Linked DNA regions of Cricetulus griseus. Each later gene encodes a partner of the first gene's protein in a complex. Links are inferred from orthologs where the notes say so. Each region holds a gene or a part of one and is shown on either strand. Other genes may lie near its edges.

The links.
Region 2: Ints1 (region 1) and Ints6 share a complex: the UniProt entries of both Homo sapiens proteins name them as parts of the integrator complex. The link is inferred for Cricetulus griseus from reciprocal best matches to the Homo sapiens genes INTS1 and INTS6.

Annotation. Positions count from the first base shown.
Region 1 is NC_048597.1:76,395,597-76,399,403, forward strand, and holds part of Ints1 (integrator complex subunit 1), read right to left. Parts: intron 3,739-3,807; coding exon 3,605-3,738; intron 3,516-3,604; coding exon 3,323-3,515; intron 2,497-3,322; coding exon 2,369-2,496; intron 2,040-2,368; coding exon 1,927-2,039; intron 788-1,926; coding exon 674-787; intron 267-673; coding exon 196-266; intron 6-195; coding exon 1-5. UniProt on the Homo sapiens protein: Component of the integrator complex, a multiprotein complex that terminates RNA polymerase II (Pol II) transcription in the promoter-proximal region of genes.
Region 2 is NW_023276807.1:217,770,670-217,775,265, forward strand, and holds the start of Ints6 (integrator complex subunit 6), read right to left. Parts: upstream 3,067-4,596; 5' UTR 2,576-3,066; coding exon 2,465-2,575; intron 2,115-2,464; coding exon 2,037-2,114; intron 1,240-2,036; coding exon 1,090-1,239; intron 1-1,089. UniProt on the Homo sapiens protein: Component of the integrator complex, a multiprotein complex that terminates RNA polymerase II (Pol II) transcription in the promoter-proximal region of genes.

The DNA.
Region 1 (3,807 bases):
TTGGTCTGCTCGGGTGGGAGAGGAGTGTCACCAGGCAACCATGGAGGCTCAGCCTAATGGCAACTGTTCCCAAGGTGCACCGGGGCAATGGGATAGCCTGCTTGGCTTCCTGCTTCAGGTTGGGGCAGTGCCCAGCTCACATGTCGCAGGATGAGTGCCACCCTCTAGATCACAGGTTCTCCCAGCCTTACTCACCGAGAAGAAGCCCAGGACCTCAGGTCTCCGCCGTGACATCTCATCTATGTCGCTCAGAGTCTCGAGCACATCTGAGGACAATGGGCCGGGTTGGGAAGTCTAGGAGGACCTAGGGGGACCCTCCTTTCTATCCTAAGCTACCCAGAAACAGGAAGGGCCAGTTCCCAGGTATCCCAGTCCTCCAGAGGCTCCCCAAGATGCACAGGGCACTGTGGTTGCCCTGACAGTATACCCTCCCCTTCCCTTTGACTTCACACTGGTCTCCAGGGAGAACTTGACAAGTGGCTCACCTTATGATCAGGATACTTGGAGCAGTCCCCTCTACCCAATCCCTGGTTCTCCTCTGAAAACTGACAGTCCTATCAGCCACCCTGCTGGGTCTTCCTTAAGCACCTCATTGCTTTTGGGGGTTCATTGTGCTATCTGAGCAAACAGCACAGTGCATCCAGGGTGGTCTAGGAGCAGCTGGCTCACTCACCCTCAACAGCCTGGCCCCGGGAAAGCCTCTTCATATGTGGAGCCACGTCAGCTACAGTCAGTGGAGTGGAGAGGGAGACACTGACCAGGGGTAGGGAGCCGGCTGATCGCTCATCTGTGAAAGGTTAGTCAGGGTCAGGCAATGGCTGAACACAAAGCTCAGCCAGACCTGCAGTCTCCATGGAAAGACTATGCCCACCCTGTTCTCTTGTTTAAGTTTAAAAATACAAAAAGGGCGCAAGATGAGATGTGAGAATGAGAGATACGTTAACCATAGTGTTGTTATTTTGCTTAAATTAGAAGTCGAGAGATGGAACATGAACCGTGGAGGATACATTAAACATAAAGTTTATTACCAGGCGAGACAGCGAGAGGGGGAGAGAGAAAAATGGAAGAACAGAGCAGGGCAGAGAGTAAGAGAGCAGAATTAGTGGTCAACCACCAGAAACAGAGAGAGAGAGAGAGGATGAATGAAGTCTCAGGCTTAAAAGGGGGAGCTTGAGCATGTGCACTGAGTCCCTACGAAGCCCCGTAATGAGTGATGGCCATGATGTGGCCATACAACACAAAGCCCTTTAAGCTGCCTAGGTATCTGCCTGAACCTTTCACACCCCAGAGGCACACTGGCCACTATCCAGGATGCAACACTGTGATTGGTCCATGTGGTGGTTACGGGGTTGGGGGGGGCGGTGTCATGTGGAAGGTGGCATTCAGGATGCTGGGCTACCCTGGGAGACACAGCTATGTTTTCCTTATACCTACAGACAGTCTAGGAGAGCATTCTCTTGCTTCTGCCCTCAAGGTGCCATTCCACATGGAAGACTGGTGTCTGGACATAGTGTGTCCTCTATGAAATACCTTTTGTGTGCTTTCAGAAAGGCCGGCCAGTCAATCTAACCAACACAGGCAGCAGGGCCTAGACACAATCACCGAGCCTCCAGGCATCCTTGGCTGAGTCATCACTCACCTGCTAGTGACCATGTCAGCAAAGGACAGAGCCCTGACTGTGGGGCATGTGCCACCATCAAGCAAGCAAGGCAAAAGACCCTAACCTAAGGACCAGCCTGCCCAGGAAGCATCTAGGTTAACATCTGACATGGGAGCAGAACCCAACATTATTCCCACAGGATGGCTCTGTTCAGTTTGTCATGGCACCGCCCATGCACATGCATGAGACAGGTGAAGTTTCAGGGCTCAGCCAGACCCACCAGAACCCTTCCTGCTCTCCACCCAAGAGCCCACCTGTCCCCTCACCTTCCCCTTCCTCATCCAGGCCTTGGTCAGTTCTCCCGTCCCGGCTGGGCAGGCTGAGCCCCGCCAGTAAAGACTTCAGCATCACCAGGTCACTGTTGTCAAAGGACAGGTCACTGTGGAGAGAGCATGGGTTCACTTTAGAGCAGTGGTTCTCCACTACCCCTTTGGCAAACCTCTGTCTCTAAAAATATTTACATTATGATTCACAACAGTAGCAAAATTACAGGGTTGAGAGCCACTGCCCTGGAGGAGGGCAGGCAGGGAAGAGTGGCAGGTAATCATCTGGGGCGAGGTCAGTGGAAAATAGGTGGGGGGGAGGGAGAGTGAGGAGGAGCAAGTGGGGATGAGGGCTACAGTTCCAACCAGGACAGTCACATCTGAATTGTCCTTCCTGGCTCAAGTGTGGAGCCACCAGAGAGCCACAGCAAGCGTGGGAACTCACTGGAGCGGCTCCGCGTGCTTCTGCAGGAAGGTCACGGCTGCTGGTGCACTGCAGGCCACGTACTTGTGGATGAACTGCACAAACTTGCTGATAAAAGGGGCCAGGTGGCGGGAGGACTTTCGGTAGTTCTGTAGAAAAGGCAGAGCCACCAGAGGCTTCCTCAGAACCTCTACTTGACAAGTGACCCCCACGACAGCCCCGGTCCCAAAGTCAGGCTGACTGAGGCTTGGCACTTTGGGCTTTAGATTTTATTGTATGAGTGTTTTGTCTGAATATATGTCTGTGTACCACATGAGTGTCCGGTACGGAGTTCGGAAGAGGACGACAGATCCCCTGGAGCTGGAGTTTCAAATGGTTGTGAGCTATCATGTAAGTGCTGGGAACCAAACCCAGGTCCTCTGCAAGAGCAGCCACTGCTCTAATCACTTAATCACTGAGTCCAAGCTCCAGCCTCTGGGCTTTTCCCCCTTCCTTTTCTTTCTTGCTTTCCTTCTTTCTTTCTTTTTGAGATGGTCTAACCTATATATAGTCAGTCTCACAATATTATAATCAAGGCCAGTCTAGAACTTGCAATCCTCCTGCCTCAGCCACCCATGTGCTATTTGCAGTTATGTCCTGCTTCTATAGCTCACTAGCCTGACTTCTGTCTCTGTAATATCACAACAAAGATGTACAGACTAGGGCATGTGATGCCAACAAACAGCACACAAAGGGGATTAGCACTAGGGGTCTAGGATATGGGGTTCCCCAGGCAGGGGATGCTGGGGCTTAGGGCTCAGTACAGGGTTGGTCTCCAGACAGCAGAGACAGAAGCCACTAGAGGGATGGCTTGGCTTTGGCCCTCGCTCCAGGTTCTCCAGTGGGAGCAGAAGGAAGTCAAGCAAAGACAGGAGGGGGCATGGCAGGATATCTGGGCTGAGGAATGTGAGGACAACCAACTGGCCTGGCACCCACCAGGAGCAGGCGGATAAAAGAGCGCAGGCAGTCCCACAGCGCCCCCTGGTGCTCGCTCTGGAAGACACGCGGCTGCAGCAGCTCCAAGATGCCCAGCACATGCAGGAAGAAGGCCAGGTGGTTCTGCTGCCGGAACTCCTGAAAGTTCAGGTGTGTGCGGCCGTGCAGGAGGGCTGCAATCATAGGCAAGTGCCTGGGGGCCAACAGAAAGGTACCCCTGGTCACCTCTTCCCACAAGAAGCCCCAACCCCACAGTGTGCCCACTGCTGTGAGAGTAAGCACCTCAGTAGCAGGATGGGGTGGGCCACAGCCAGCTTCCGACAGGCCATGTTGGCATCAGCCACTCTGCTCTCAGAAGACCGGGAGTCACTGGTGTCTGCCAGGAGCGTGATGAAGCGATGGATGAGCCCATCCAGCTGGGGGTGGGGGAAAGACATGAGGGAGAATACTTGTCTATGCACGGTTTGAATTGTCCCATCCCATTC
Region 2 (4,596 bases), on another chromosome or scaffold:
CAAAAAAGAAAAAATAACGTGTTGATATTAATTAAATGATGGAAATGCATTCAGAAAAGTCTGACTAGTAATGCATACTTTAAATGCTATAGGACTAAATTCCACCATTTTTAAAGGAGGATATGTGTTTAAGAGTTATCCTCAAATGAGGAATATAGCTTGTGAAGTCACAGGAAGAATTTCCCTGAGATGTTCAAAATTCATGAGAACTGTGCATTATGGAACTTGGGAAGAGTATATAACATATATTCCTAAATATAGTATTATGGTAATAGTGCTTTGCATACTGAATTTCTTGGGTGTGATACTACTGGTGTGCAGCAATACATATTCTTTGTTATCTTTTATTTCTAGGATAGCATATCATAAATGGATCATCTCACATTTCCTTGGTAAATGACTGCTGTGACTTAAAGCTCTTGCCTCATCCTCACAAATGAGAGGAACTTTGAGGAGCTTCAGAAAGACAGGCAAGTTTTCATGTTTCCCAGAAAACATTTTCCCAAGGGTTTTGAAATTTTAAACTTTAAAAATTCTCAATCTGTCATTACTTTCAGACTTCCTACTATAGTAACTTCTAATAGTATAGGCCTCAAGAGACATCTGAATGTCAACCAATGACTGCACTACTGACAAATCTCACCTTTGCAAGTATACAATCTAGGTTAAGCTAAACCCTCATCTAACAGTCATGTCTTCCAATGTCTTTACTAATATAGAAGAAACTGCAGTCAACGGGACAGCTGTGACCCACTGCAGTAGTTACATATGTACCTACACGTGGCATAGTTTCAGAGTGGTGTATTCACAGGGTATCTTCCCCTTGATGTCTTTTATGAACTTTGAGGGACTGAAACCAAATTCATGTCAACTTTATAGCCAAGAATTTAGATTCGAAGTCTACAGGGAAATACACTTAAAGGGGAAAATGAGGGAACTCATACACCTTAGGTGTTTTGAACTGTGTGCACACTAAATTTCAACCTTGTTATGTTTTATACTTGCATTTCATGTTGCATACTTTTGGACTGGATTGTGTTTTTGTACACATAAATAAAAACAACTTTTCTACCTTAGTATTCAACCTACCTGCCCATAGTTGTCTATGCCAGTTACTAATCTATTTAAATTTAACAAATCAAAAGCTGTCCTTAGGGATTGGCCAAGAGTCGTAAGTCCTTCTGCCTGAAGGTTTTTCAGTTCATTCATAAACGTTGCATGATTTTCTTTCCATCCAGCCTGAAAAGAAAGATGTAAGAATTTTTTTTATCATTTGAAGCCACAGCACACATGGACACCGATTATAATGTGATGTCCACCAAGCAGGCATTCCACTTCGGGTTTGTATAGTTAACTTCACTTTTGATTGATATGGCTTGGGTCACATGTTATAACTGTTGTCTCTGGGTGAGGAAATCTCTTCCAAAGGTGGCCAAGAATGAACCTGCTTGCCCTACACAGTCTTAATACTTTAATAACTTCACTGGGAAATTCGCTAACATAACATCCTCCAAATTGTGTGTAAGGGGTGGGTGTTGCGAAGGTACTAGTGGAAGGCAGATGGCAGCAGGACTTCTTAAGTTGACCACAGCTGTCCCACCAATCGGTGGCCTTCCTAGTTCCACTCTGTGATGACCAAGTCTCGAAGCCCCCCTCCTGGCTTCCCTGCCAGCTTGGCTGATTCCCTTTTAATGCAAACCCTGGCTAGGCAAGGCTGGGCCCGGCTGTCACTCGGGCTAACTTGAATAAATATCCCCCACAGTTCATTGCTGCCGCTCACGCCGCGGAGGGGAAATGTCGGCCATGTTGATCGTAGCGCCTCCACCGCCAGGCCGAGCCAGACCCGGAGGGGACGGCGGTGGGCCAGAAACTGCCACCGCGCCGGCGCTCCCGAGCTGGGGAGGGGTGGGAGGCCACAGGGGAAGGGACCTGGAGGCGGGAGCCGCGGTGGGGGAGGGGAGCATAATGAAGAGGGGGGCGGGGAGGGCGAGCTAGGAAGGAGCAGGGAAGGGAGGGGGGAGGGCGAGGGCTGTTACCTTGATAGCATAGGGCGGCTCTTCGAAAGTGACCAGCATATACCTGTCTCCTCTGCTGGCAGGGTCCCGGGCACGGAGCTGCGGGCCAGGGTGGGGACGGGAGGGAGAGAAGGAAGCACAGAGGCGAGGTTACCAGTCGCAGAAGGGTCGCTGGCCGCCCCCACAGTACCGTACACACAGGGCCACCACTCCGCCGACCCCCGCACCCACAGTAGCCCCACATGGGCCAGGCCCAGCGGAGCCCGCTCCCAGCTCCCAGCGCCCGCCCGCTCGCCCGCTCGCCCGCCCGCTCGCCCCGCCCGCCCGCACGCCCGCGCGGTGGGAGGGGTCCCCGCGCCCGAGGCGCCCGCAGTAGCCCCGCCGCCCCCCGCCCTGCCCCCCGCGGGCCACCGGGTCGGGGTCGCCGCCGGGGCTCGGTCAGTCGGTACCTTCATGAAGGTCTCTACCGCGCCTTTGGCCGTGTCCAGGTAGGTGGTGCCCAGATGGCTGCGCTGGTTCATAGAGGCAGACGTGTCTATCAGGAACAGTAAGATGGGCATAGTGCTGGCCGGGGACACCGGGGCCCGAGGTGGTGAAGAGATGGCAGAGGTGGAAGCACCGGCGGCGGCGGCGGCGGCGGCAACCGCCGCTACGCGGGGCGGGGAACGCGGCCCCCGGGAGGAAAACACCGGCTGCGGGGAGTTTCTCCCCCGATAGTTGAGAGGAAACTCCCCAGCCCAGGTCCTCCCGGTCGTACCCCTGCCTCCGGCCTGCCTGCCTGCCTGCTGGGGCGGCCGCACGGACGCCTGTCCGTCCGTCCCCCCCGCCTGGGGGTCCCGTCCCCACTCCCGGCCCCTGTGTGTGTCCCCGCGGGAGACGGGCCCAGTTCCCCACCCCACCCCCAGTGCAGGGAGTGGGGACCAGGGATCTGGCGAAGAGGGGACTGGGCTGAGGGGAGATTGGCCCTGGGGCTGTTGGGAGAAGTTTCAGGGACTCCCTCCGCACCCCAGCGGTGTCACCACTTTCTCAGCCCCTCTCGCTACTGAAGCGCTTTTCTCTCTCACTCTCCGGTTTTAACTCGGGCAGGGGCTACGTAGGCTCCGCCCCTGACACGTACTCGTGTCACGTGATGCGCAGGCCCGCAGTTCTACTGGCTGGTCCTTAGAGCCTTATTAGCATATTCAAACAGCTCAGGGGCGGGGGAAGCTTGTAGGCAGACTCAGAGGACAGTTATTGAGCACGCGCGGAGGCGGGGCACCGGGTGCGCGCTAGAGCCAGCGCGAGGGGCGGCCGCAGGTCCCGCAGCCGGGAGGCGGGCTCCGGGAAGGGGCGGGGACACGCCGCGGAAGCGCGGCGGATGGGGGCGGGGACTGGGTCGGCCCGCGCAGGGCGGCAGCGGCTGTGGGCGTGCGTGTCAGGGCGGCCGGCCTTTGGGCTGTGCTCGGTGACAGGGTCGGGAGAGGGGAAGTGGAAGCCGCCCTCAGCCTGTGGGCGAGGGCTCTGCGTCGCGATTGAGAGTGCAGGGCTGAGGAGAGCCAACTGGCCGGGGCTAGGGAACCGCGCAGGCCCTCGCGGCCGTTGCAGGCCGGGCCCCGGGACGGCCCAGGGGGGAGGGGAAGTGAAAGGTTGTTTATGACCTGGTGCTAATCCCCGCCAGTCATTCGGCTCCGGCTGCAGCGAGTCAGAGCACCCACAGAAAGGGAAGCCAGTCCTGGAGTGCCTCCCCCAACCCTGCAAACACGAAGGGGAACTCAAGTATGGACCAGGAAAACAGCGGTCCTCCCCAACCAAGTTCCCCTCTTCCACTCGTGTTTGGGCACTAGAGTATATTAAGAAAAAAAGGAGCTTGCCAGATTCTAATCCACTGCCCTCGTTTTAAAATGGAAAGGATGACCACGTTGCGCAGGTGACCCAGAGAATAGATTTCCCGGAAACCCGCCTTTCAGTCCCTGCCAGTATTGTGTCAGAAAAATTCTCTGCCCATGTCACATTACCTGAAGCCTTCAATCTGCGCCTGCAAGACGTATGAATTGTTCTCAAGTGTAGTTGGAAAACTGCAGGACGCTGCCTGATACACAAGTTGAATTTGGGACATAGAGGCCTGGTTAGACTGTAGGTATTTATAGGGCCTTTCCCACCGGTCCTGCATTTCCGGATTTTCTCTATGCTGAAATTCTGGCCTGCTGGGCAACTGAAGTGGCATGTTTGTGACACTTTTTTTTTTTTTTTAATCTGCCCTTGTTGTTTGGGCTTTTCCTAATATTTCAGAGGGAAAAAAAGAACTCGGAAAGTTTTTAATTTATTAAAAACAAATTATAGCATACTGTTTTGTGGGAATGAACCATAGTAGAGGCATGAGTTTTTTGTTTGTTTTGTTTTGTATTTTGAGACAGGGTGTCTCTGTGTAGCTTTGGAGCCTCTCCTGTCACTCGCTGTGGAGAACAGGCTGACCTCTAACTCACAGAGATCCGCCTGCCTCTAATTCTCCAATGCTGGGATTAAAAGTGTGGTGTGCACCACCAACGCCCGGCGAGGCATGAGATTATTAGAGATTAAGACTATAAAAAAAAAATGATGAACT